3 linked regions of the Notamacropus eugenii genome follow. The protein of the gene in region 2 purifies or fractionates together with the protein of the main gene of each other region. This does not show direct contact. Links are inferred from orthologs where the notes say so. Each region holds a gene or a part of one and is shown on either strand. Other genes may lie near its edges.

The links. Proteins that work in one complex are often made in the same cells at the same time.
Region 1: the proteins of SF3A2 (region 2) and SART1 purify together in Homo sapiens (affinity purification with mass spectrometry; 3 studies listed by BioGRID and IntAct, with this or other methods). This does not show direct contact. The link is inferred for Notamacropus eugenii from reciprocal best matches to the Homo sapiens genes SF3A2 and SART1.
Region 3: the proteins of SF3A2 (region 2) and DNAJC8 purify together in Homo sapiens (affinity purification with mass spectrometry; 3 studies listed by BioGRID and IntAct, with this or other methods). This does not show direct contact. The link is inferred for Notamacropus eugenii from reciprocal best matches to the Homo sapiens genes SF3A2 and DNAJC8.

The regions. Positions count from the first base shown.
Region 1 is NC_092873.1:18,652,047-18,659,200, reverse strand, and holds the start of SART1 (U4/U6.U5 tri-snRNP-associated protein 1), read right to left. Parts: upstream 3,003-7,154; 5' UTR 2,361-3,002; coding exon 2,018-2,360; intron 312-2,017; coding exon 254-311; intron 42-253; coding exon 1-41. UniProt on the Homo sapiens protein: Plays a role in mRNA splicing as a component of the U4/U6-U5 tri-snRNP, one of the building blocks of the spliceosome. May also bind to DNA.
Region 2 is NC_092875.1:64,094,155-64,102,048, reverse strand, and holds the start of SF3A2 (splicing factor 3A subunit 2), read left to right. Parts: upstream 1-4,878; 5' UTR 4,879-5,133; intron 5,134-5,569; coding exon of another isoform or gene 5,570-5,663; exon of another isoform or gene 5,664-5,831; intron 5,832-5,864; exon of another isoform or gene 5,865-6,085; intron 6,086-6,316; exon of another isoform or gene 6,317-7,047; intron 7,048-7,894. Other genes in the region: PLEKHJ1 (pleckstrin homology domain-containing family J member 1), read right to left, coding at 3,426-3,493, 5,570-5,663. UniProt on the Homo sapiens protein: Component of the 17S U2 SnRNP complex of the spliceosome, a large ribonucleoprotein complex that removes introns from transcribed pre-mRNAs.
Region 3 is NC_092876.1:69,358,540-69,366,510, forward strand, and holds the start of DNAJC8 (dnaJ homolog subfamily C member 8), read right to left. Parts: upstream 3,003-7,971; 5' UTR 2,915-3,002; coding exon 2,834-2,914; intron 2,149-2,833; exon of another isoform or gene 2,038-2,148; intron 1-2,037. UniProt on the Homo sapiens protein: Suppresses polyglutamine (polyQ) aggregation of ATXN3 in neuronal cells.

The sequences.
Region 1 (7,154 bases), on a different chromosome or scaffold from region 2:
TGATCTCCAAAGGTTTGAGGCCCAACTTGGCTCGGAGTTTACTGAGAACAAAAGAGATAGCTACGGTTATGAGGCTCTCAGGAAACATGGGGCAACTAAATTCTGGATGGACTAAAGAGAAGGAACTGGGGAGAGATGCTACTCAGCACTCATTTGGAAGGATCGGTAACAAGGCCTCCTTAGGTCCATTAGCAGAACACTATGCTGGAAGAGGTCAGAGGGCATTGGGGAACTAAGCCTTCCCATCACTCACTTGGTCTCCTCAATGCTGAGAGATGAGGCATCTCCAGAGCTGGCCTTGGAGCCAGTGGCTAGAACGAGAAAGACAAGGGTCAGGCTCCCTCTGTGCTGCTTTGAGGGCATCCTGACCACAGTTCAAAGAATTAACATCTGGAAGCCCAGAACTCAGGAGTTCTAAGCCCCAGACAACACCTGGTGTAGACAAGAAGACTGTGTTTACTTCCCTGGCCAACCCTTGCTGGGAAAAACTTCTTTAGCTCCACAAGCCAGCTTTTCCTCTGCAGGAATTATCATACCTTCCCTGAAGTCCTGGGAAGGCACTTCCTTGTATTGGTTGGGAGAGGACAAGTTAAGAGTCAGGGGCTACAAATGTTTCATTATCCCTCCAAATCTGCCAATCTCAAGCCCTGCTTGAGAAGCATAAAACAGATTTCTGTTTTATAGATAGAGAGTTTGGCAGACCACTTAGAATCAAAGTATCTCACATCTGGAAGGGACCTCCAGTCCAGTCTATAACTAAGCAGGAAGCCCACTGCAGTAGCCCATTTCACTTTCAGCTCTCCCAGCCCTAACCCCACTCTGGCCTCTGGCAAACCACTCTAATCTTCCTGAGCTCTGACTTCTTCACATGTAAAATGGTGCTAATTCTCTCTACCTGAGTTGTGGAGGAAAACATTTTGTAAATCTAAGGTAAGTAAGAGCAAGGTATTACTGCTTGAGTCTAAACCCTCCAATAGCTCCTGGTAGAACATGGAGTCAAGGGTGAAGTTATTTCCTTGGTATATGAGGCCCTCATCCAGCTGGGAATGGTCCACTTTTGCATCTTGTCTTACCCACACCCTGTTCTCCAGCTGAAGTGAACTACTCATCATCCCTGTACATTTCCAGGCTCCCCACCTTCAGGCCTTGGTGATTCCCAATACTTTCCCTTCCTGAATTCCTGCTCCTCCTTTAAAATCAGACTTGAACGTCTTATTTCTCTAAGAACACTCTCCTGGTTGTTGATAACCTTTCCCCTCTGACCTTCATGCTTGCTGCATTCACAGGATCATCAAAGTTTTGGGTTTCATCCCCTAATGAACTTGAGCTCTATGAGGGCAGGAGCCGTGTCTCAGCCAGGGCCCAGGACAAACATTGACGGTACAGAGTCAGCAGAAACACACCCAGATTTGGCGTCACATGACGCGGCTCCCCAGACTCAGAGCTGGAAGGGATCTTTAACATCATCTAATGCAATTCCCTTCTTTGGGCAACTCACACCCACGACCCACGGCCTGGGCCGCAGCTCCCTTCCCCTCCAGGTCCAGGGGCTCCCCCCGGGCTCTGGACATTCTCTCTGGCTGTCCCCAGCCCGACTTCCCCCGGAAGCCTCCCCTAGTCAGTGATGTCGTCGCCCCTGCCAGACTGTAAGCTCCTCCAGCGCGGGGCCCGCCTTGGTTGCAGTCTCCGCACCCAGGAGGCACCTTACCGACGGAGCCCCCCCCCCCATTAGCGCAGGTCAGTGGTAGTTACGCTCCCTCGGCCCCAGGATCCGCGACCTCGAACCACAGCTGTGCCTCAGTTTCCCCACCTGTCTGCGCGGGTCCCTGCAGATCCTAGACTTAATGGGAGTGGGGAAAGATCCGGCCCAGGGCTTACACTCCCGACCCTGCCCCTCAAGCTCCACCCCCACCTCGGCTGCGCTCCCTTACTGGCCCACTCAGGAGGGAAGGCCCCGCCCCCGGCTGTTCATTGGCCCCGCCTCCCTCAAGCCCCGCCCCTCGGGCCTCGCGCTCACCAGCTTCGTAGCCGTCATCGCGCTTCTCTCGCTTCACTCTCCGCTCCGCAGGCTCTGCCTGGCTGCGCTCGCGCCCGTGCGCGCTCCCGTTACGGGCCTCGGTCTCGCCCCCGCGGCGGCTGCTCCCCCTCTCGGCCCCGCGCTCCCGGCTGCGCTTGCGCCGCTCGCTGGCTCCGCCCCCGCCGCTCCCGCTGCCGCCGCCCCCGCTGCGATGTTTGTGCTTCTTATGCTCGCGATGCCGGGGCGCCTGCTCGGCTGTGCCCGGGCCCGAGCTCCCTGCTGCCCCCGCTCCGGCCCCCGCCGCCGCCTCCTTCTCCCCGCGGTGCTTCTTCGAGGAGCCCATGGCGGCTCCGCTCCCACCGAACCCCGGCCGCCGTCACCGCCGGCCCTGACGCGGAATGCGAGCTCTTCCGGGTTACGGGCCGCCCCTCGGCGGCTGTTGCCGGAAACCAGTAGGCGCCGTTTCCGTTGTGCTCTGGTCCTCTGGCCCAACGCCCGACGGGAAATCAGGCCCGAGGCTTCCGGCGCCCGCTCGTCACTGCGCTTTCGCCGTGGCGCCTCTCTTCTTTCCCCCTCCCAACGCATCCGGGCCGAGAGGCGCATGCGCCAGGCTGGGCCTGCGGCTGCGCCAAATCTCAGGCTGCCTGAGCAAGGACCCTTTGTGTGGCTGAAGCATGGCGCCTGGAAGGGGGATGGGCACGCATGCGCAGCTCGGGATAGGTTGGGCGCGTGCGAGGTTCTCCTTACCCCCTTGGCTCCTGCTTCTGCACCCTGGCAGCCCCCATCCCCTCTCCTTCTCCTGTGGGCTTGCCCTGCGGATCCAACGGGTTCAGTTACATCTCTGTGAATCCTCCCTGTCTCAGCTACTGGGTAGTGGCCAGTGTGAGAACGCCCCTGCCCGCTCTGCTGCCCAGCACGTGGAGCCCGGAATACAGCCTGGGCACAGAGAGGCGGGCTGGCAGCGGGGAGCATGGAGGGAAGCGTGGCGCCTGGACCCGGCAGCCATCCCGGTGCCACACTTGATCCGTTACCCTTAACCTCGCCTCCTCCATCCTTGATTACTTGCCACCCACGTGCCTCCAGCTGGTGCCACCCTTGACTACTTCCCTAGTTACCCCAGTCTCATCAAGATCCTCCTCAGATCTTGCCCATGGTCTTTCTGTACATAAGTTCCATCTCGCCTCCATGAAGGCGCTCAGATTCAATCCGGCTCCAGCTTTGTAGCTCAGATTCTCTCTGGCCCACTTGTCAATACTGATGTCACCCATACGGTGAACCTTTAATAAACTTTGTTTTACTTTGGCTAGAAGAAGTCTTGCGTTAAATTCATTCGATGGGACCTGGCGTATTGGTATTTTGGGGTCCCCAGCACCCCAAACCTCATGGTTCCCAGACCTCAACAAGACCACTCATCCAGTCTCTCTGTACCCTGCAGTGCCAGCCCCCCACCTGCTGGCTCAGCTCGATCTCCACAGGGGAGAATAGAGATGAAAAAATACTTAAGATTTAACCCTCGAGTGGTTGAAAAGTCTGAATTATTTAAAACCCTGAGTTTGTGAAAAATCAAAAAATGAAACATGAATGTCCTACAGGGTCTATTGACTTCAAGTCAGAAGTTAAACCAATGTAAATTAATTGCTAGAAACAAGGAGACCGAGGGAGCCAAGAAACATCTTAGAAAACACTGGACTTATTTGCCAAACAAATACCTTGGGAAGGCAATACATGTCTAGAATATAAACTCGTTTGTAAAATCTTACAGAGGATGATGGTGAATGAGCAGAATTGTCTCATGAAGCAGACAGAGATAGCAGTGGAGGGTAAAACCAGTCTAAAGAAAGCTTGGCAAGATTTCCAACTGAGCAAAGTCATACTGAGGGAATTAAAAAATGAAAGTGGAAAGAAGACCACAGAGAGAGGGAAAAGAGAAAAGATTTGCAAAAATGAATAAAACATTCTTTTCTTATATATAGACACACATATGTATAGAGAGAGAAAGGAGAGCTGCTGTGGAGGCAATACAGTGGTAAGGGATTATAAACTTCCCTTGTGTTCATTGATTTAAAAAAAGCATTCCACTAGAATTCCACTGGAGTAAAAGCTTCCTGGACCCCCCTACCTCCCCTACAGGCTACTGTTTAACTAGGTGTATCCTATCTCTACATTAAGCTCATTCAAGATTCTAAGATGCATCAACAGAAATAACCCTATTCAGTGGCTCTCTGGTCAGAAACACCCAGTGTGGCATAAAATAGGCAGATGTGTTCTTGCCTCAAATATTTGCCTTCCTGATGTTGATCCACAAAGAGTCCTTTGGAATGGTGAGGTCCTTTTGACATTCCTGTTTGAGAGTGACATGTTGATTGCATCGAACCAAAGACTTTGCAGAATCTCCTGGAAGAGATCTTTTAACTATCTAGAAGAATTTGATCTGTTCGCTCATCCAGGAAAGATCAAGTAGGCGAAGACAGGGTATTGCTCAGATTTTGACATACATCTGGATTGGCAATCTACAGGGCTTGACCAACAGGATGTATTTCTGAGATAAACAATAAATGCACCATGAGCTAGATCCAGATTTGAAAAGAAAAAGGAAAATTAGATTGCTTTTGGGAAATTGCAAGGTTCTTTTACCAACTGATTGGTTCCCATAATAGCAAAGGGTCAGTCTTTTTAACATTGGACCAATGCTGCTGTATCACAACAAGACCTGAAAGCCCATTGTCTTTGAAGAACTAAACATTAGTATCACATCAGGGGCACCAGAAGAGCACATGGTAGGCACAAGCAGGCAGGTGACATCTAACCAACAAGGGATCCCAAGTAACAGTGGTAAAGGACATCAAAGAATTACATGACAGATGACAGGTATATGAGGGATACCTTCCACTGGATGGAAGGTTTTCATTTTTTTCCACCCACTTAATAGTACTGTACTTCTTCCAGTTACATGTAAAGAAAGTTTTCAACATTCAATCTTAGAAGAATTCGAGTTCTTTTTCTCCCTCCCACTCTTTCCCCCTCCACAAGACTGCATGCAATCTGATATAGGTCATGCATGTACAATCATATTAAACATATTTCCACATTGGTCATGTTGTGAAAAAGGAATCAGAACAAAAGAGAAAAAACCACAAAAAAGAGAGAAAATCCTATATTTTGATATGCATTCAGATGCCATAGTTCTTTCTCTGGATGTGAATAATAACATTTTCCATCATGAGTCTTTTGGAGTTCTCTTAGATTCATCGCATTGCTGAGAAAAAATAAGCCTATTAAAGTTGGTCATCGCACAGCGTTGCTGTGACAGTGTACAAGGTTCCAGTTCTTTTCACTTCATATAGCATCAGTTTATCTAACTCCGAGTTTTTCTGAAATCTGCCGAACAATAGTATTCCTTTACATTCACATACCACAACTTGTTCAGCCATTTCCCAGTAGATGGGCATCCATTTCCAGTTCTTTGCCACCACAAAAAGAGCTGTTATATTTTTGTACATGTGGGTCCTTTTCCCTTTTTAATGATCTCTTTGGGATATATTGCTGGATCAGAGGGTATGCACATTTTTTTTAGTCCTTTGGGCATAGTTCCGAATGGCTCTCCAGAATGGTTAGATCGGTTCACAGCTCCATCAACAATGCATTAGTGTTCCAATTTTCTCCAGCATTTATTATGTTTTCCTTTTTCATCATATTAGCCAATCTGATAGTTGTGAGGTGTTATCTCAGTTGTTTTAATTTGCATTTCTCTAATCAATAGTGGTTTAGAACATTTTCTTCATCTGAAAACTATTTGTGCAAATCCTTTGACCATTTGTCAATTGGGGAATGATTTGTATTCTTATAAATTTGACTCAGTTATCTACATATTTTAGAAATGAGATCTTAACAGAGACACTGGCTATAAAAATCATTTCCCAGCTTTCTGTTTCACTTCTAATCTTGGTTGTATTGATTTTGTGCAAAACCTTTTTAATTTAATGTAATCAAAATTATCCATTTTGTATTTCATAATGTTCTCCTATCTCATTTGGTCATAAATTCTTCCCTTCTCCATAAATCTGAAAGGTAAACTATTCTTTACTCTAGTAATTTGCTTGTGATGTCACCCTTTCTATCTAAATCATGTATTGATTTTGACCTTTTCTTGGTATACAGTGTAAGATCTTGGTTTTATGCCTAGTTTCTCTGTACTATTTTCCAGTTTTCCCAGCAGTTTTTTGTCAAATAATGAATTCTTATCCCAGAAGCTGAAGTCTTTGGGTTTAACAAACAGTAGATTACTAGTCATTCACTACTGTGCCTTGTGCACCTAACCTATTCCAACTGATCCACCACTGTTTCTTAGCCAGTACCAAGTAGTTTGAATGATTGCTGCTTTATAATACAGTTTTAGATCTGGTATGGCTAGGCCACTGGAAGGTTTTTTACTGTGCTGGATGGACCCCTTGTGGTGAACTTTTGGGAGGATCTGGACAAAATGTGTTGCCTGGGATGGACAGGCTACCTTCTGTATTGTTGAAGAGAATACCCAGATCAATGAACATTTAAACATTCCCAGCATGAACTTAATAACCATTGCTTTATTTTTTACATAAACCCTCTTAAGAGCTTCCTCTGAGGGTTGGTAGAAATTATGACTGCATGTTAGGTATTTCTTGTGTTGGCCAGTGCTGGAAGATTTGTTCTTCTGGTACCCAAGAAAGGAAATTCATGGTCCTATGGCCAAATTGGCCCAAGATCCCACCTCTACTCAGAACCTTCTGGGACTGCTCCTTTCACCAACGATGAAGTCTGACACTTCCCAGCTTGGCAGAATTGGCCAGTGGATGTACTGATGAGAGCTAAGCACTACTTAGAACCAGCTTCATGAAGTCTGCCCTTAGTGCAGGGAGGGTTAGAGACATCCTACCATCTGGAATCTTGTTTCAATCATTTTTTGTTAATGAAATTCTGTGGTAACTTACTGATGGGCTCCCTGCAAGTGCTGTGGGAATGCTAAATTCAGAGCCAGATGACAAAATCTCAGTGCCCTATCATAATTGCAGCTTAGCCAACTTTACCCCCTGCCCAGATTTAGGCATTGGAGGAAGAGGTTAGTGAAGGTCAATACTGCCAACCATCAGTAGCATAATTA
Region 2 (7,894 bases):
CCAGGCCAGGCATGAGGAGAAGGGGGAGGGGCTGGATTTTGAGCTCTGTGGATGGTGCCAGCAAACAGAGCCTTAGGTCCAGTACTCAGCAGCCTCCTGGAGCTTCTCAGAAGTCTAGGGGACCTTGGAGGTCATCTAGCCCAAACTGCTCATTTTTCAGAAGAGGAAACTCTCCAGAGCTTTGTAAAGGGTTAATCAGCTGGCAGGTAACAGACTTAGGATTGAAACTTAGGACTTGCAGGTCTAAAATCAGTGTGCTTTTTGCCACACCATTGACAACTGGCACCCAGAACATAGCAGGCTTGTAGATTACTAACTGACTTGGGCCTCTCTGTACCAGGTCTATCCTCCAGGGGCCACTTCCCTAAGGAAGGGAGGATGGAAGTCGAGAGGTGAAGCTGGATGGACCCTGTGACTCATCAAGAATGCTGGGATGCAGCAAATTCAAAGGAAGCCACGGATCAGGGAGAAAGCTCCAGAACTGCCCTCATCTTGCTCTGGGGCCTTGGGCCAATCATTTCCTTTTGCTTCACCTATTTACCCATCCTTAAAAGTCCCCCCAGGTTTGAAATTTTCTGGGTAGAACCTCCAGGAAATGCCCCCCCATCATGATGGTATAAATAGAATTGAGTTCATCATCCCCACCTGCCAGTGACTCCTTTCTGCCCCCTTCAGACCCTGTCATGAGGCAGCCTGGGGTAACAGGAAAGAGGGCTTGAGCAGAGTGAGTCTCACGTCACTAGTGGCTCCCTACAAGACCAGGACACAATCCCTGAAGGGAGATTCATTTTCCTCCAAACCAGTGCTGCTACAATGCCACACTCCATCTGGAGGGAGAGGCCCCAGGTTCAAATCCTGATTCTGTCACCTGAGATAGCCTCTGTGGGAAGTCACCTGACTGTGCTGGGCCCTCTTGAGGCCCCTTCCTGCTCTAAACCGGGGAAATTAGGATCCCTGGATGCAGGGATGCACAGATAATCACAGGCCTGAAGAATATGGCACACTTCATTGCAAGCTCATTTCTTCTGAGAAAAGAAGCCTGTGTGGGATGGGGGCTCAGAGCAAGTCCCAAGGCAGTGAAAAGGGCTGGGTTGGCCTCCAAGGTGTAGCCTTGGCCCGATCCTGCCTCAGACCTTTACTCTCTGGTGGCTTAACCTCTCTGGCTCACTCTCTTCATCAGAAGAATTAGGGGTCTGGAACAGGTGACTTCTCAGATCTCTTCTGGCTCCCATATGTGCTATGAGCCTGTTCCAGGGCTCTTTCCACGAGGGGCTGCCTATGGCAAATAATATATATCCGAAGCACAGTGGAGTCAGAAAGAACTATGTACTTGTTTATCTGTTCATAGATGCTCACTCTGGGACCGTGACCCCTTCATTTTCTTTTCTTTGTCCTCATCCTTCTTGACCCGTCTACTGCATGTGACACTGCTCACCACCCCTTCTTCCTGGATATTCCCAACACTCCCGACTTGCCTCCTACCTGTCTGACCCCTCCTTCTCAGTTTCCTTAGTTGGCTTGTCATCCATATCACACCCCCAAGTGTGTGGGTGTTTAGCTCCTTTATCAGATGGTTTAATTACCATCATTCTGAAGATGGCTCCCACCTATATACATCAGCCCCAATGTCTCCCAAGCTTCACATATTACCAATTGCCTAATGCCCAGGATAGCTTCACCCCAGCAGGTCTAAAACTGAACGCATCATCTTTTCCCCACACAAGGGATTCTTAACCTGGAGTCTGTGAACTTTTTTTTTAATATTTTGATAACTTACTATTATAGCTGATTTCTTTTGCAATCTTGTTATTTTACATTATGCACTTAAAAACATTATTCTAAGGGATCCATAACACAAAAAATGTCAAGAACTCCTTGCCCTAAACCAGGGGTGGGGAACTTTTGGCCTATAGCCACATGTGGCCTTCTAGGTCCTTGAGGGTGACCTTTTGACTGAGTCCAAACTTCACAGACAAATCCCCTTAGGAATTAGCCAGATGTGGCCTTAAGGCCAAAGGTTCCCCACCCCTGTCATAAACCTTCCCTATGTCTGTGGAACGTACCATCAACCTTCCAGTCTCCCAGCAGCCTCCTGGACTCTTCACTCCTCATCTCACATATTTAATCAGTCACCAGAGTTTGCCCTTTCTATCTTCACAACATCTTTCCTTTCTGACCCCTTCTCTCTACTCATAACCTACCCCCTTCATTTAGGCTGTCATTATCTCCAGAATTATTAAAACAGTTCCAAATTGGATTCTGTGCCTCCAACCACTCCCCAGTACAGTGTGCCCTCTACACTGTTTGCCAGTGTAATTCTCCTCAAATGCCAGTGTGATTCCCCTATTTCACCACTTCTAGTGGCCTTATCGTTCGACATAAACTCCTTTGTTCAACTTCTAAAGCCCTATCCGACCTGGTTCCATTCTATATTTTCAGTTTTGTTGCACATGACTCTCCTTTCCACACTCTTGTGATTTAGCCACTATGGATCACTATCTGTTCTCCACATTTCTGTATCTCCAGTCTCCATGCCTTTGCACTGGAAGCCCCCCCATGCTTGGAATGTACTCCCTCATCCTGGCCCCAGGAGAGTCCCTGTCTTCCTTAAAATGCAGCTCAATCACCATCTTCTGCATGAAGCCTTTGCCAGGGACTTCCCTCCAAACCACTGTGCATTGACTATCTGACATATGTTTGCATTTATTCATGTTCTATTTCAAACGTACTTTTTTGTCTCCCCCACCAGAATCCAAGCTGCTGTCTCCTTCACTGTCCTTGTAGCCTAAGTACCTGTCACTGAGCAGATAAATCCCTGTTGGCTGATGGTCCTTGTTCTGCCATGGCTGGGCTGTGACATTTTAAGCCTGTCATGTAACGTCTGGGGACTGAAGCTTCCTGTTCCCCTGGTTGTGTTGTGATACAATAACCAGGGTGGGTGGTAAGAGCCAGTGGTGGGAAAAGCCCTGACCTGGGATCATGTTCCAGCTCAATCTCTGTCTCAATGGGTGACACTGGGAAAGTCACTCTTTCTTGCCCGTTTCCTTATCTATCAAAGACCTCCTGGGGTTTAACCAATGGTGTCAAACTCAAGTAGAAATAGCATACCTAAGAAACTATCTGGGTCAAATATTGACTTAAAAAACCATATAGTAACATTATCTATGTTCTATTGTATTTTTATTTATTTTGTTCAATATTTCCCAATTATATTTTAATCTGGAGGGGGCCATACTCGGGAGTGTGGTGGGTCGAATATTTGACACTGTGAATCAGACTATAGTATTGCTAAGATTTCTTCCAGATCAAAATATTCTAGGTACAAAGGTCTCCCCTACTTAGAAACTCCATGGTGCTATATTGGATGGGAAATTCCTTAGAAGAGATTCTATATTATCACAGACTGTGTCCCAGGATCCTCCTACCTCTGCTTCATCTGTCCGGAAATAAAAGAGGAAATTCACCACCAGTTTCACGAGCCTCCGTTTCACCACTGGGGGGAGAGATCAAAAAACAATGTGGAAGTTGGGCACTTGCAGGGAAATCCCAGAGAACCCCTGCCCAGAGCCCAGGTGAGACCAGGCTTCTCCCCTCAGCCTTTCTACCCTGTCCTCAGGTTCCTCCTAAATATGACAGTATCCTTTACTAGAATTTCCCTAACCTTTAAACTTTGGGAAAAACACAAAGCCTCTTGGAGGGCAGAGTCTGAACTAGTTTAAGGAGATTGGATGGCAGAACAGGAAAGTAAAACAAGGTGGAATGCCATGGAGAAAATCCAAAAATCCAAATTCCTGTCCTACCACACCCTCCTCTCTTTCCAAAGAGGGAAGCACCACTCTGTAGTATCTGTGCAGGGCCAAAAACAGCTATTTTAGGGGTTGACTTGATTCTTCTTAGTCACCCGGGGGAGTTCCTTGAGTCCCAGCTCCCCCTGTAGCCTCATCAGTAATGACAAGATCCAGACCAAGGAAAAATACCCTCCAGAAAGAGAAGCCCCATTCCCAGGCAGAGTTGGGAGCAGGACCATCTGAGAAGGCCGCCTTGGGTGGAGTAGGATGGACGGTGGGAAGACAGGGCCAAGGAAGGACTGGGAGAGAGGATTCTCTCTGGAAGGGCTGAGGTGGGAGAGTCTTGTATAGAGGCCAGACAAGGAGGCTCTGGGGCAGAGGGCTTGGAGGAGCCTAAGGAGAGGTTACACAGGAAGATTCTGTCTGGGGATTGCTGAGCTTGGAGGTTCAGACCTCCAAGAAGGAAACCTGTTTAGGACTGTGGCTCTAGAAGGCTCTTGCTGCTCCTCTGTCGAGTCATTTCAGTCATGTCCAACTCTCCATGACCCCATCTGGGGTTTTCCTGGCAAAGACACTGGACTGGTTTGCCATTTCCTTCTCCAGCTCATTTTATAGATGAGGAAACTGAAGCAGACAGGGGTAAGTGACTTGCCCAGGGTCACACTGCTAGTAAGTGCCGAGGCTGGACATCATCATAAAGATGAGTCTTCCTGCCACCTGATTCAGAGTGCAGTGCTCTGTCTACAGGGCCACCTAGGAGGGTAGTGACATTATTTCTGTTTGTTTAAGGTGTGGTGGTAGTGTTTGCAAAGCCAGCTCAGGAGCCATTATTTTTCCCCACAAATGTTTATATTCCATTTTTACAGCTTCATGAGTAGTTTAACCAGAAAGGTTAGATCAAGGTGGGGATTTTTCTTTGCAAGAACTTGGGAGCTTAGAACGCTGTATACAAGCTGGGGTAACTTTTCTGGATTCAGAAGGGAAAGGGGGTGGGGGCTAATAGTTTAAAGGAGGAGCAAGTCAGATGAACAAGATCAATGATTTAGAGCAAGGAGGAACCTCAGACTCTCTCCTGTGATGCCTTAGTTTTACAGAGGAGGGAACTAAACGGTTAAGTAACTCTTGGGCCGGGGGCCCAAACATCAGTCAGTATTTGAACCCAGGACTTCAAGGACTTAGGGAACAGAAATTCATGGGAGGACCTGTGTGGTGTAGCACTGGAGCAGAGAAGGAGGGGTTCGGGAGGAGTTCTTTGGGGAAGTGTGAGAAGCTGTGCACAGTGGGGTATGATCCTGGGAACCTCACACAGGATGATGGAGGGGACAGGCTGTGTACACGCTGCGAGGTAACCTCAGGACTCCGCTGAAGAGCCTGGGAGGTGATGGAGGTGGAGTGGGCTTGGGGACAGGGCGTGGGATCTCGGGAGAATGTACACGGGGGTGCAGAGTGGGGGCGCCGTAGGTTGTGACCATGGACAGGACCCTGGCAGGACTGGGGGGGCTGGAGGAGGGGCTGGCAGGTTTGCTCATTGGTGGGGCTGAAGCTGGGGAGGGGACTGTCAGGGTGGCTCAGCCTGGTGACTCGCGGGGTGTCCCTGGGGGGCTCAGCGGGGGGTCGGACAGGAGGGATTCAGGGAGTGCTAAGGCTGGTAGTCTGGAAGGCTCTGAACGCAGGGGTGACCCCGGGGAGTGCGGAGGGCTCAGTGAGGGGGGCTGAGGGAGATCCTGGGGGGGGTCATAGACGGGGGGGGTTAGGCAGGCCGGCCTCCCCTCGGCTCTCACCGCTGCCCTTCTTGGGGACCCGCATCCCGATCTCCGCCGCCTTCTCCGCCGGCTGCCGGGACAGCGCCTGGAGCTCCTTCTCGTTGTACCGCATCCTGACGACGAAGGGAGGTGGGAGGCCCCGCGGCCAAGTCGGGAACCTGCTTGGGCTGCGGCTCCGGCCTCCGGCGGCCCGCCAGGCCCAGCCGCGCCGCTCCCCACTCCGCTCCTCCCTTCCTCCCCGCCCTTAGGGCTCCGTTTTGTCCGTGTTCGCCGCCAGCGGCCCCAATAAAGTTTTTCCGCAGAGCGCGCCCCCGCGGCGCGCAATAAAGTTTTGTTGATGGCTGAGTTCGGTGCGTCTCCCCTGGCAAAGTCAATAAAGTTTGCGAGGGCTTCCCCGCCGCGCGCGTGCGCAGATCGAAGCTGGCGCGGTGGCGCGCATGCGCGGAGGGTCGGTAAGACGAGCTGGCGAAGAAGATAACGGCGGAGCGGCTCGTGGCGCTAGCGCCGGGAGGCGCCTGTTGTTTCTGTGAGGAGGTCGGTGAGGAGGCGGAAACGGACGCCTTGAGTTTTGGGGGGAAGCGGGGGAGGACGGGGCTCGCGACGAGGAGGAGGAGCTCTCCCCAGGAGCGAGGGAAGGAGGAGGGGGACGAGGAGAAGAAAGCGGCCGCGAGGCCTGAGGCCTGGGTCGCTTCGTGTGTGGGTCGGGCCTCGCGCCGGCGGTGGGGGGCGGGGCGCGCCCGGGGCCGGGGGCGCGCGGAGGAGGGAGGGTGGGGAGCGGGGCGGGCCCCGGGACTGGACCGCGGTGCGGAGGGTCAGCCTGGTGAAGGGGTCAAGTGAGCCCCGGAGCTTGGGCCGGGCCGGTGGGAGGCCCACTGTGAACGGACTTCTCCGTGTGAGTAGACCTCCCTTGTCGGAGACCCACTTGCGTGTGCCATGTTGGTGTGTTGGAGTCCTCCAGTACTGAGCGAGTTCCCCGAGGGTAGTTCTTACCTGGGGTGTATTTGCAGCACCTTGCACACAGAACAAGGATTTCCCTTTGTTCCCCCTCACTTAGTTGGTTTTCTGATGGCTTCTCAAATGGAAAGTCTGATCGCGTCCTTACCAAAAGAGAAGTGATTGGAGCGGGCTGGGACCCGAACACCGGGAAGTGGGCTTCCGCCTCAGCCCCAGGCGCGGCTCCTTCACCACCAGCCCTCGCTTGGTCCTTCCAGCCTCACTCGCTGTGGTCCTTGCTCCTTTTCATGTGTAAGGCCTTTGTATTAGCCATCTTCGTACCTGAAGTGCACTCCCTCCTACCTCATTCAACCGAAACTGCTCCTGGAAAGTCAGGAGGCGCAGTGGATAGAGCGCTGGACCCTGGAAATGAGCAAGACCTGATTCAGACCTAACCTCAGAATCTTAATAGCTGTGTGTACAAGTTAATTCATCTCTCTGCCTGCCTTAATGGGGAGTATAAAACTGCCTATCTCCCAGGGTTGGTTTGAAGATAAAATAAGGTACTTGGTTTTTTTAAATTACTTTGTTTCAGTTTTCTACAATCACTTCCATAAATCTTAGATTTCTTCCCCCTCTCTCTCCACTCCCTCCCCGAGACTGTGCGCAATCTTATATGGGTTTTACACATACATTTTTATGAAATGCGTTTTCACCTTAGTCATGTTGCATAGAAGAATTAAAATGAATGGGAGAAACCGTGAGAAAAACCAAAACATAACAGAAGAGAAAATATTCTGCTTCATTCTGTGATCCTGTTCCATAGTTCTTTTTCTGCATGTGGAAGGCATTTTGCCTCAAGAGTCCATGGGAATGTTTTAGGTTCTTGCAAAATAAGGTACTTGTAGAGCACCTTTGCAAATCTTCAAGCTATATATAAATGCTAGCTAGCTATATTACTAATTATTTCTTAACTGTAGGATCTAATGGCTTTTTCTCAATCTTCATCCTTCTTGACTTCTCTGTAGCCTTTGATAAACTTTCTTCTTAATACTCTTCTCCAGATTTCTTGTTACTCTGCTCTGTCCTGGTTCTCCTATCTGTGTGACTACCTCAGTCTTCTTTACTGAATTTTTGTTTAGCTCATGCCCCTGAGATGTCCTGTAAGCCTCTGCTGGGCCCTCTTCTGTTTCTCTGTACTATTTCATCAGTTCCTAGATAGCCAGTTATCTTCTAATTTCCAAACTGGGATCTCTGACTGCCTAACAGACATCTCAAACTGGATGTCCCTTAGATATCTTAAACTCAGTATGTCCAAAACTTAACTCATTATCTTTCCCCTAAAACCTTTATTCTTTCTAAACTTTCCAGGTACATTACTTTTAAGGACACGGTGCTCTTTCCCAGTCA
Region 3 (7,971 bases), on a different chromosome or scaffold from region 2:
CAAAACCCAGATGCTATTTATCATCTCAGCCTTTGCAAAACTTAGACAAAAAGGACCTTGGGAACACAAAACCCTGAGGAACATGGAGGATCTTTCCTATCCAGTTCATAAAAGCATGGAGAGCTATTTTTCTAATCAATGCCTAGATAATCAAGTCCCAGTAAGGAGATAGAATAAAACTTGGCACCCAAGGCAAGGAGTACCCTTTTAGGTTAAAAGAACTCTTGAGAAAGTGAAGGAAAACCATGCTCAGTGTCTCCAGAGTAACTTTGCTCCTTAAATCAAAGTCACTTCTTAAAGGAATAGAATTTAGAGCTGCAATCAATTTCAAAGATCGTTTGGTTAAACCCCTTTATTTTTAAAGGTGAGGAAGCAGAGGCTGGTTAAGTAATTTGAGTTATAGCCGTCATGGTGATGAGGTTTGAACTTAGTTCAGCTTACTCCTAGACCAGCACTCTTTATCCTGCCACCCCTTCAAGATCAGGCTAAGCCACTTCACAGAATTTTAAGCTAGAAGGTGTATTAGAGAGCACCTAGACCAAGGGTTCCTAATATTTTTTCTAACAGGGATCTTTTGGCCCCTCCTCACCATAAAATTATTAAAATTACTGAAGGAAATAGCAAATTTTGGCTAGAGGTTAGTGAAAATAAAGATGTAGCTATTTTCCCTAAGTTCACAAACCCCTTGAAATTTATCTATCAAGAGCCCCCGATCTAGTCCAATTCCATTATTTTACGGAAAAGATTATGACCAGAGAAGTTAACAAGGTCACACAAGTAGGAAGGAAAAAAAGCACTAGGATTTGAGTCCAAGTCCTTTCCATCTCTGTATACTTTCTCTTCAACTGTTCCTTTGGAATTCAATGCCACCACACCAATGTCAACTGTCATGGAAACAATTTCTCCCAAGTGATTTTAATGGGTTTAATCTCCACTGAAGGGGATTCCACTGTGGCCTCCAAACGTCTACCTTTCTTCCTCTCTTGCTTCAGGAATGTTCCTGCTCCCCTTTTCTTCCCCTCCTCCCTTACAAAAGTTCCTTACACCAGGAGCCAGTGTTTGTAATTGAGGAAGCAAGCTTCTATGATATCAGAACTGGGGAGGCAAAAAGGGCTGTGAAAAGAGTGCTGGATAGTAAGCACAGGACATAGGAAATAACTGAAATGAATTATAAAAACACCCACTGCCTATGGGACTGTGAAAAAAATCACTTGCACTTGTTCAGCCTGTTTCCTTTTCTGTAAAATGGGGGCAATACTATAACATAGCCAATCACAAAGAAATGTTGACAATATTCATTTGAAAATAGAAGTGTACAAGTTAACACAGTGTTGAGAATTCTGTTCTCTGAAAAGTGGAACTGTGTTTGTAGGAGAATCCTTAACCTTTGTAGAATAACTAGTACTAAAAAGTGTTTAATTCAATTCTGAAAAGACTGAGGCTCTAAGGGACCCTGAACTTTTCTTCTTTTAAGGCAGAAAAAAAAATTTTTTTAAACTTACAATGTTTTGGTATTAAGTTCCCTCCAAAGTGAAATGAGGGGATTGAGCCAAATAGTGAAACTGGGATCTAAAAATCTAAAAGATTTAAAAATGTGTCGGTAAACTGCACCCCACCCCAACAACAAAAAGGGAGCTGTAACATAATCTGTGATATGTAGGGAAGGCAAAGGAGTGGAGGTCAAATTCCTCCCTCTCCCTCCCAAAAAATGCCACAACAACCTCTGCAAACCTGGTGTAACAAGGTGACTCTTAGCTTTCTTTAGGTTTGGCCCCTTGGAGCAGACTGGTGAAGCCTGTGGCTGGTCTTCTCAGAATAAAGTAAACGCATAAAATTAAATTAATAAGATTACAAAGGAGGCCAATTTTGTTGAAATGATTACCAAAATATTAAAAAAAAAAAAAAGTTCATGAGCCCTGGGTTTCTAAGAACCCGTGGAGCAGGAGACAAAGCTCTGACTCTAGAGTGAAGAAGGGCAGGGTTTGAATTCCACCCTAGACACTTATGAGAAGTTCAACTGTGGGCAAGTCACTTTACCTCTTCGGCTTCAGTTTCCTCATCTGTAAAATTCAGAGCACCCGAGAGGGTCAGATGAGATCAACCAATCAACAGAGGAGGCCTCACCACGTGCCAGGCACGGAGCTAACGCTGGGGATACAAAGACAGGCTTGAGACACTCGCTCCCCGCCCTCAGGAAATTGACATCCTACTCTACGCGCAGGCCGGCCGCGAGTCCCACCGCAGTCCTTCCTCGGCCAAACCGTGTGAACGTGGAGGCGACCAAGGGCCTCGGCGTGGGGCAGGCTCCCCAAGCTCCCCTCCGGCATCCCTGCTGTCGGGGGAAAGGGCTCCAGGGGCTCCCCCACATCCAGGGGAAGACTACGGAAGAGCTGCTCCCCACAGCAAGAGAAGCGGCAGCATGAGCGGGAAAGGGGGGGCAAGAGAAGGCTGTAGCAGGAGGACAGAAGGGGAGGCGACAGCAGGGAGGGAGCGGGGTAACAAGAAGCGGGAGCGGACGCCGGGAGGGAGGGAGCAGGGACCCAGAGACAGAAGAGTCGGGGGAACAACCCGAGGAGAGCAAAAAGGGAGGCAGGGAGAGGAGGAGTCAGAGCCGAGAAGAACGGGGAGAAGCCAGGGTAGGGGCTGGGAGAAAGGGGTACCCAAGGAGGGCGGGCCCAAGGCCAGGGAAGGAGGCGGCTACGCCAGGCCCGGCACCGCCAGCGGACCCCGAGCGGGCCTCAGGCCCTCGCGGAGCGGCCAGGGCCGTCACCGCCGCCACGGGCCTAGCTCCGGGCGCAACCATCGCCGCTGCCGGGGCCGCTGTCTGACTCACCTCGCTGTAGAAGGTCATAAACGCCTCCTCGGTGCTGCCGCCGCCGCCGCCCGAGGCCCCACTTTCCCCCGAAGCCGCCATTTTCCCCAACCCAGCCACCACGTGACCCCCGAGGTCTCTGACGCCGACACACGTGACAGCGGCCTAGCGTCGACTCAGGCTCCGCCCCCCGGCGCTCCGGGGCGTCCTCTTAAAGGGCTAGTACACACCGCTGGTACAGTCTCCTCTTCCCAGTGCCCAGGCAGGGCTCCACAGCGCGCCTGCCCGCCTGGGTCTTGGACTGGCAGCTCTCGTGTGAGGCGGCCGACCTAAGAGCTGAACAGCCAGTGGATCAAAGAATGACAAAAGCTTCCCAGTCCGTCTTTTATTTGTATCCTTAGCTGTGGACCCGTGCGCCCACCTTAGCCCCCATAGAGGTGCATGTGTACGCAGGTCTGTAATGCCACTGGCCAGGTGAAGTAGAGCTTCCAAATATGCCAGTGACACTCAGAAAGCATTGCGTCATCTAGCTAGCCTTTAAGCTTCCTAGTCCCTCCTGAGGACGTACAAGTGCACGTGACCTGGAGTCTGGAAGGCTTGAGTTCAAGTTCTAATTTAGCTACTTAGTAGCGGGTGATGCTGCGAAAGATACTTACTGCTGTCTGCTTTTGTTTCCTCAGATGTCAAGTGGGGGAAATAATAATAACACCAACCTCCAAGCGTGAGAATCAAAAGAGAACGTATTTGTCAAGAGCTGTGCAAATTACAAATGGTTACATAAATGTCAGCTACGATTCTTATCTAACTAATAACATTTATTCAATTTTAAGTGCTTGCAAATCTTGAATATATAAATATATAAGCGCTAGCTGTTATTATTAAAGAGAGAAAATGTTACCATAGTGAAGTCTGGAAGTCTTGGCTGTGAATGCCCATTTGAGATACTTAGTAGCAAAGTGACCCTGGGTAAGTCACGTAACCCACCTTTAAAAAGAGACACTTGTAATACTTAATGCATGGGCAGGAGGTAGCATAGAGGAAATCGTACTGGATCTGAAGTCAGGGAACACATCTTCCTGAGTTCAAATTTGGCCTGAGAGGCTTACTAGATGTGTGACTCTAAGCAAATCACCTAACCCTGTTTTCCTTAGTTGCTCATCTGTAAAATGAACTGGAGAAGGAAATGACAAACCACTTCTGGATTTGCCAATAAAGTTCCAAATGGGATCACAAAGAGTGAGGAACAACTAAACAGTAGCACTTACCTCATAGAATTATTGAGAGGCTCAAATGAGATAAGGGATATAATGTGCTTACAAAATGTTAATTGCTTTCTAAGTATTAGATATTATTATAATTGCCGAACTCACATTTATTAAGTGCCTATCGTGTTCAAGACCCTAGGCTAGGTTCTACATACTAAGAGGAATATGAAGGTTTCTGAAGTCTTCCCTGTTGTTAAGTCACCCCCCACCCTTTTCACTGATCTCATACAGCGCTTTTTAAAAGTACTATTGTGCACAATCCATCTCCAGAGAAAGAACTGATGGAATCTGAATGCAGATGGAAGCATACTTTTTCTTTATTTTCCTTTTTTGTCTGTTTTCTTTCACAGTGTGACTTACATGGAAATATGTTTTACATAACTGCAAATGTATAACCTATGTCAAATTGCTTACCTTCACAATGAGGGAGGGAGAGGATTTGAAACTCAAAATTTGAAAAAAAAAATGTTGTTACATGTAATTGGGGAATAAATTTTAAATTTAAATTTAAAAAATTTTAAATTTAAAAATACTATGGTGAAGAAATATTATTTTCTACAGCTGTAAGGACTATTTCTCTTAAGTAATATCATTCATCATAACTATCTATGTTAATGTTTTCTGTCTTACTGTACTTATTATGAGGTTTCATATCTTACTACTTTAATTGGTCTCCCTGCCTCAAATCTCTCTTCGTTCCATCTTCCCCTCAACTGTCAGTGCTCAGTGACAGGTCTGACCACTTCATTTATCTCTCTTCCATCCCCACACATTCAGTCAATTCCAGTAGCTCCCTAGTATCTCCAGCTTCAAATATAAAATCACCTGTTTGGCTTGTAAAGTCCTTTGTAACCTAATGCCTTCCTGCTTTCCCAGGCCTCTTACACCTTTCTCCCTTTCACATACTGGCCTCCTTGCTAGATAAAAAAAAAAAAATGATCCATCCACCCCAAGCATTTTCTCTGACTGTCCCACATGCCTGGCATGCTCTCCCTTCTCCTGTCTGCCTCCTAGCTTCCTTCAAGCCCTAGCTAAAACCTCACCTTTTGCAAGAAGGCTGTTCTTCTAATCCTCCTTAAAGTTAATCCCTTCCCTCTGAGATCACCTCCAGTTCATCCTGCCTACCCCTTGTTTATAAATAGACCTGTACAATTAGTCTCCTCCATTAAACAGGGAACTTCTAGAGAGCAAGGTTTGTCTTTTACCTTTATCTCCAACACTTGGTGGGGATAAAGTACCTGGCACATAGTAAGAGCTTGATTTGACCATTATGCTGTAAATTCCATAAGAGACTATGTCTTATCTAAATTTTTTATCTCCACTTCCTCTGGCTTAGTGCTCTGTGCACAGTAAGAATTTGATTTTATAAATATTAATTGTTACTGACATGGTAAAGTCTTAATTTCAAAATACTAGTGATGGAAAATGCTATCCACATGCAGACAAAAAACTTTGGAGTCTAAATGGTGATCAAAGCATACTATTTTCACATCCCCCCCCCCCTCATGGTTTTTCCCTGTGGTTCTGATTCTTTCACAACATAACTAATGTGAAAATATGTTTAACGATTATACTTGTATAACCTATATCAGATTGCTTGCTGCCTTGAGGAGGGGGGAAGGAAGGGAAGGAGAAAAATTTGGAACTCAAAATCTTACAAAAATGAATATTGAAAACTATCTTTACATGTGTTAGATGTTACAAGAAAAATTTATTACAGCAGAGTTCAGAGGAATTGAACACTTTGACCAAAGCGGGTTCCCACCCTCCTTTCAGGAGGAGGGAGCACTGAAGCCAGTTGAGCTATATACTGTTAGTTCTAGACAGATCCTCCCACCAGGAGATGGATTGGTCCATTCTCCATTAGGTCACCATCTTCTCTACATGCCTATTACTTAACCCCCCCTTAGTGTGATTCCCCTTCCAAACATGCTTTAACATAGGATCCATGATCAGAAAATGGAAGGATAATTTTATGCAGGGTGTGTCTGCTTATATGCATGAGATTCACTAAGCAAGTGCAGTGAAGAAAAACCTTCTCCAGGTAACTTTAGGTTGTTTTCTTAACTAGTTCCAGCTAGCTGTAGGCAAAGTTTTATCAAAAACTTTGTAATTTTCTGAAGGCCGCTGTCTGTCTTTTGATTGATTGAGTCCACTTGCAATCTGCTGGCCTTATTATCTAACTTATTCTCAGTGTCTTCACTAATTAACAATAACTTACTGTGGAAACTTAACTTTTGCTGTCTCTCACACATGTAATTGGAAAAAATAAAATACTATTAAGTGGGGAAAGGAAACTGTGAAGTCTTGCACATGGTAAAGGTTGAAAGCTGGTGTAAGAGTCCAGGAGACCTGGGCAGAGATCCATCTCTGGCACTGGCTTGACTCTGGACAAATGACTTGCCTCTCACTGTCCCCAGGCAACTCTAGAAGACTAAAAATTGAGAACAGTTGCAAATTTATGTGATGTGGCTTCCTCACCAGAAGTTTGCTACATGGATGAAGTTACAAGTTGGAAACCAAAAAATCATCCTAAAAAAGTGCTCAAGATGGTCCCATCAGAGGCACTTAGAATAAAAATATGAAAAATTATATTGTCCCTGCCTTTGTAATGGTGGGGATTCCTTTGCTCGATTTCACTCACACACAACTTTCCAGACTTCTTGTACCTTACACCCTTCTCTCCCACATATTCTTTGATCCAGGACCACTGGCCTTGTATTTTTTCAAACAAGACATTGCATCACATCAACCTACTTTGGGCATTTTCACTGGTTGTCACCCATATCTAGAACACTCTACCTTCTCACTTCTACCTGAAATGTCAGTTAAAATACCACCTCACACACATCAGGTTGGCAAAGTTGACAAAAATGAAAATGACAAATGCTGGAGGGGCTTGTGGGTAAATAGGTACATTAATGTACTGTCAGAGCTGTGAAACTGATTCAGCCATTCTAAAAAGTAATTTAGTATTATGTCCAAAAAGTAAGCTATGCATAGCCATTGACCTTTCAATGCCGCTATTAGTTCCATACCCCAAAGAGATCAAACACAGAAGAAAAGGATCTATATGTACAAATGGTAGCAAAGAATTGGAAATTAGGGGGATGCCCATCAAATGGGAAATGGCTGAACAAGCTGTGGTATATGAATGTGATGGATTACTACTGTACTGTAAGAAATGATGAAGAGGATGATTTCAGACAACCCTGGAAAGACTTATATGAACTAATGCAGAGTGAACTGAGCAGATTGCTGTTCATTTGTTCTGTCTGACTTTTGATGACCCCTTGGACCATAGCACACTAGGTTCTACTATCCTCCACTATCTCCCGAAGTCTGTCTGAGCTCATGTTCATTGCTTACATGACACTATCTATTCATCTTATCCTCTGGTGTTCTCTTCTCCTTTTGCCTTCAGTCTTTCCCAACATAAGGGTCTTTTCCAGTGAGCCCTATTCTTCTCATAGGGGCAACTAGGTGGTACAGTGGATAGAGCACCAGTGCAGGAGTCAGGAGGACCTGAGTTCAAATCTTGCCTCAGACACTTGACACTCACTAGCTGTGTGACCTTGGGCAAGTCACTTAACCCCAATTGCCTCATTCTGGGTCATCTCCAGTCATCCTGATGAATATCTGATCACTGAATTCAGATGACTCTGGAGGAGAAGTGAGGCTGGTGACCTGCACAGCCCTCTCTCACTCAAAACAAAGTCAAGTGCAAGTCATGTTATCATTTCTCTGATGTCAAAAATAAAATATGAACACAACAACAACTTTTCTCATCTGTTCTCATATGTTGCTTAAGTATTTAGGCTTCACCTGCAGTGTTTTACTTTCCTGTGAATAATCTGAATTAATTCTTTAAGTATTGACTGATTTGATCTCCTT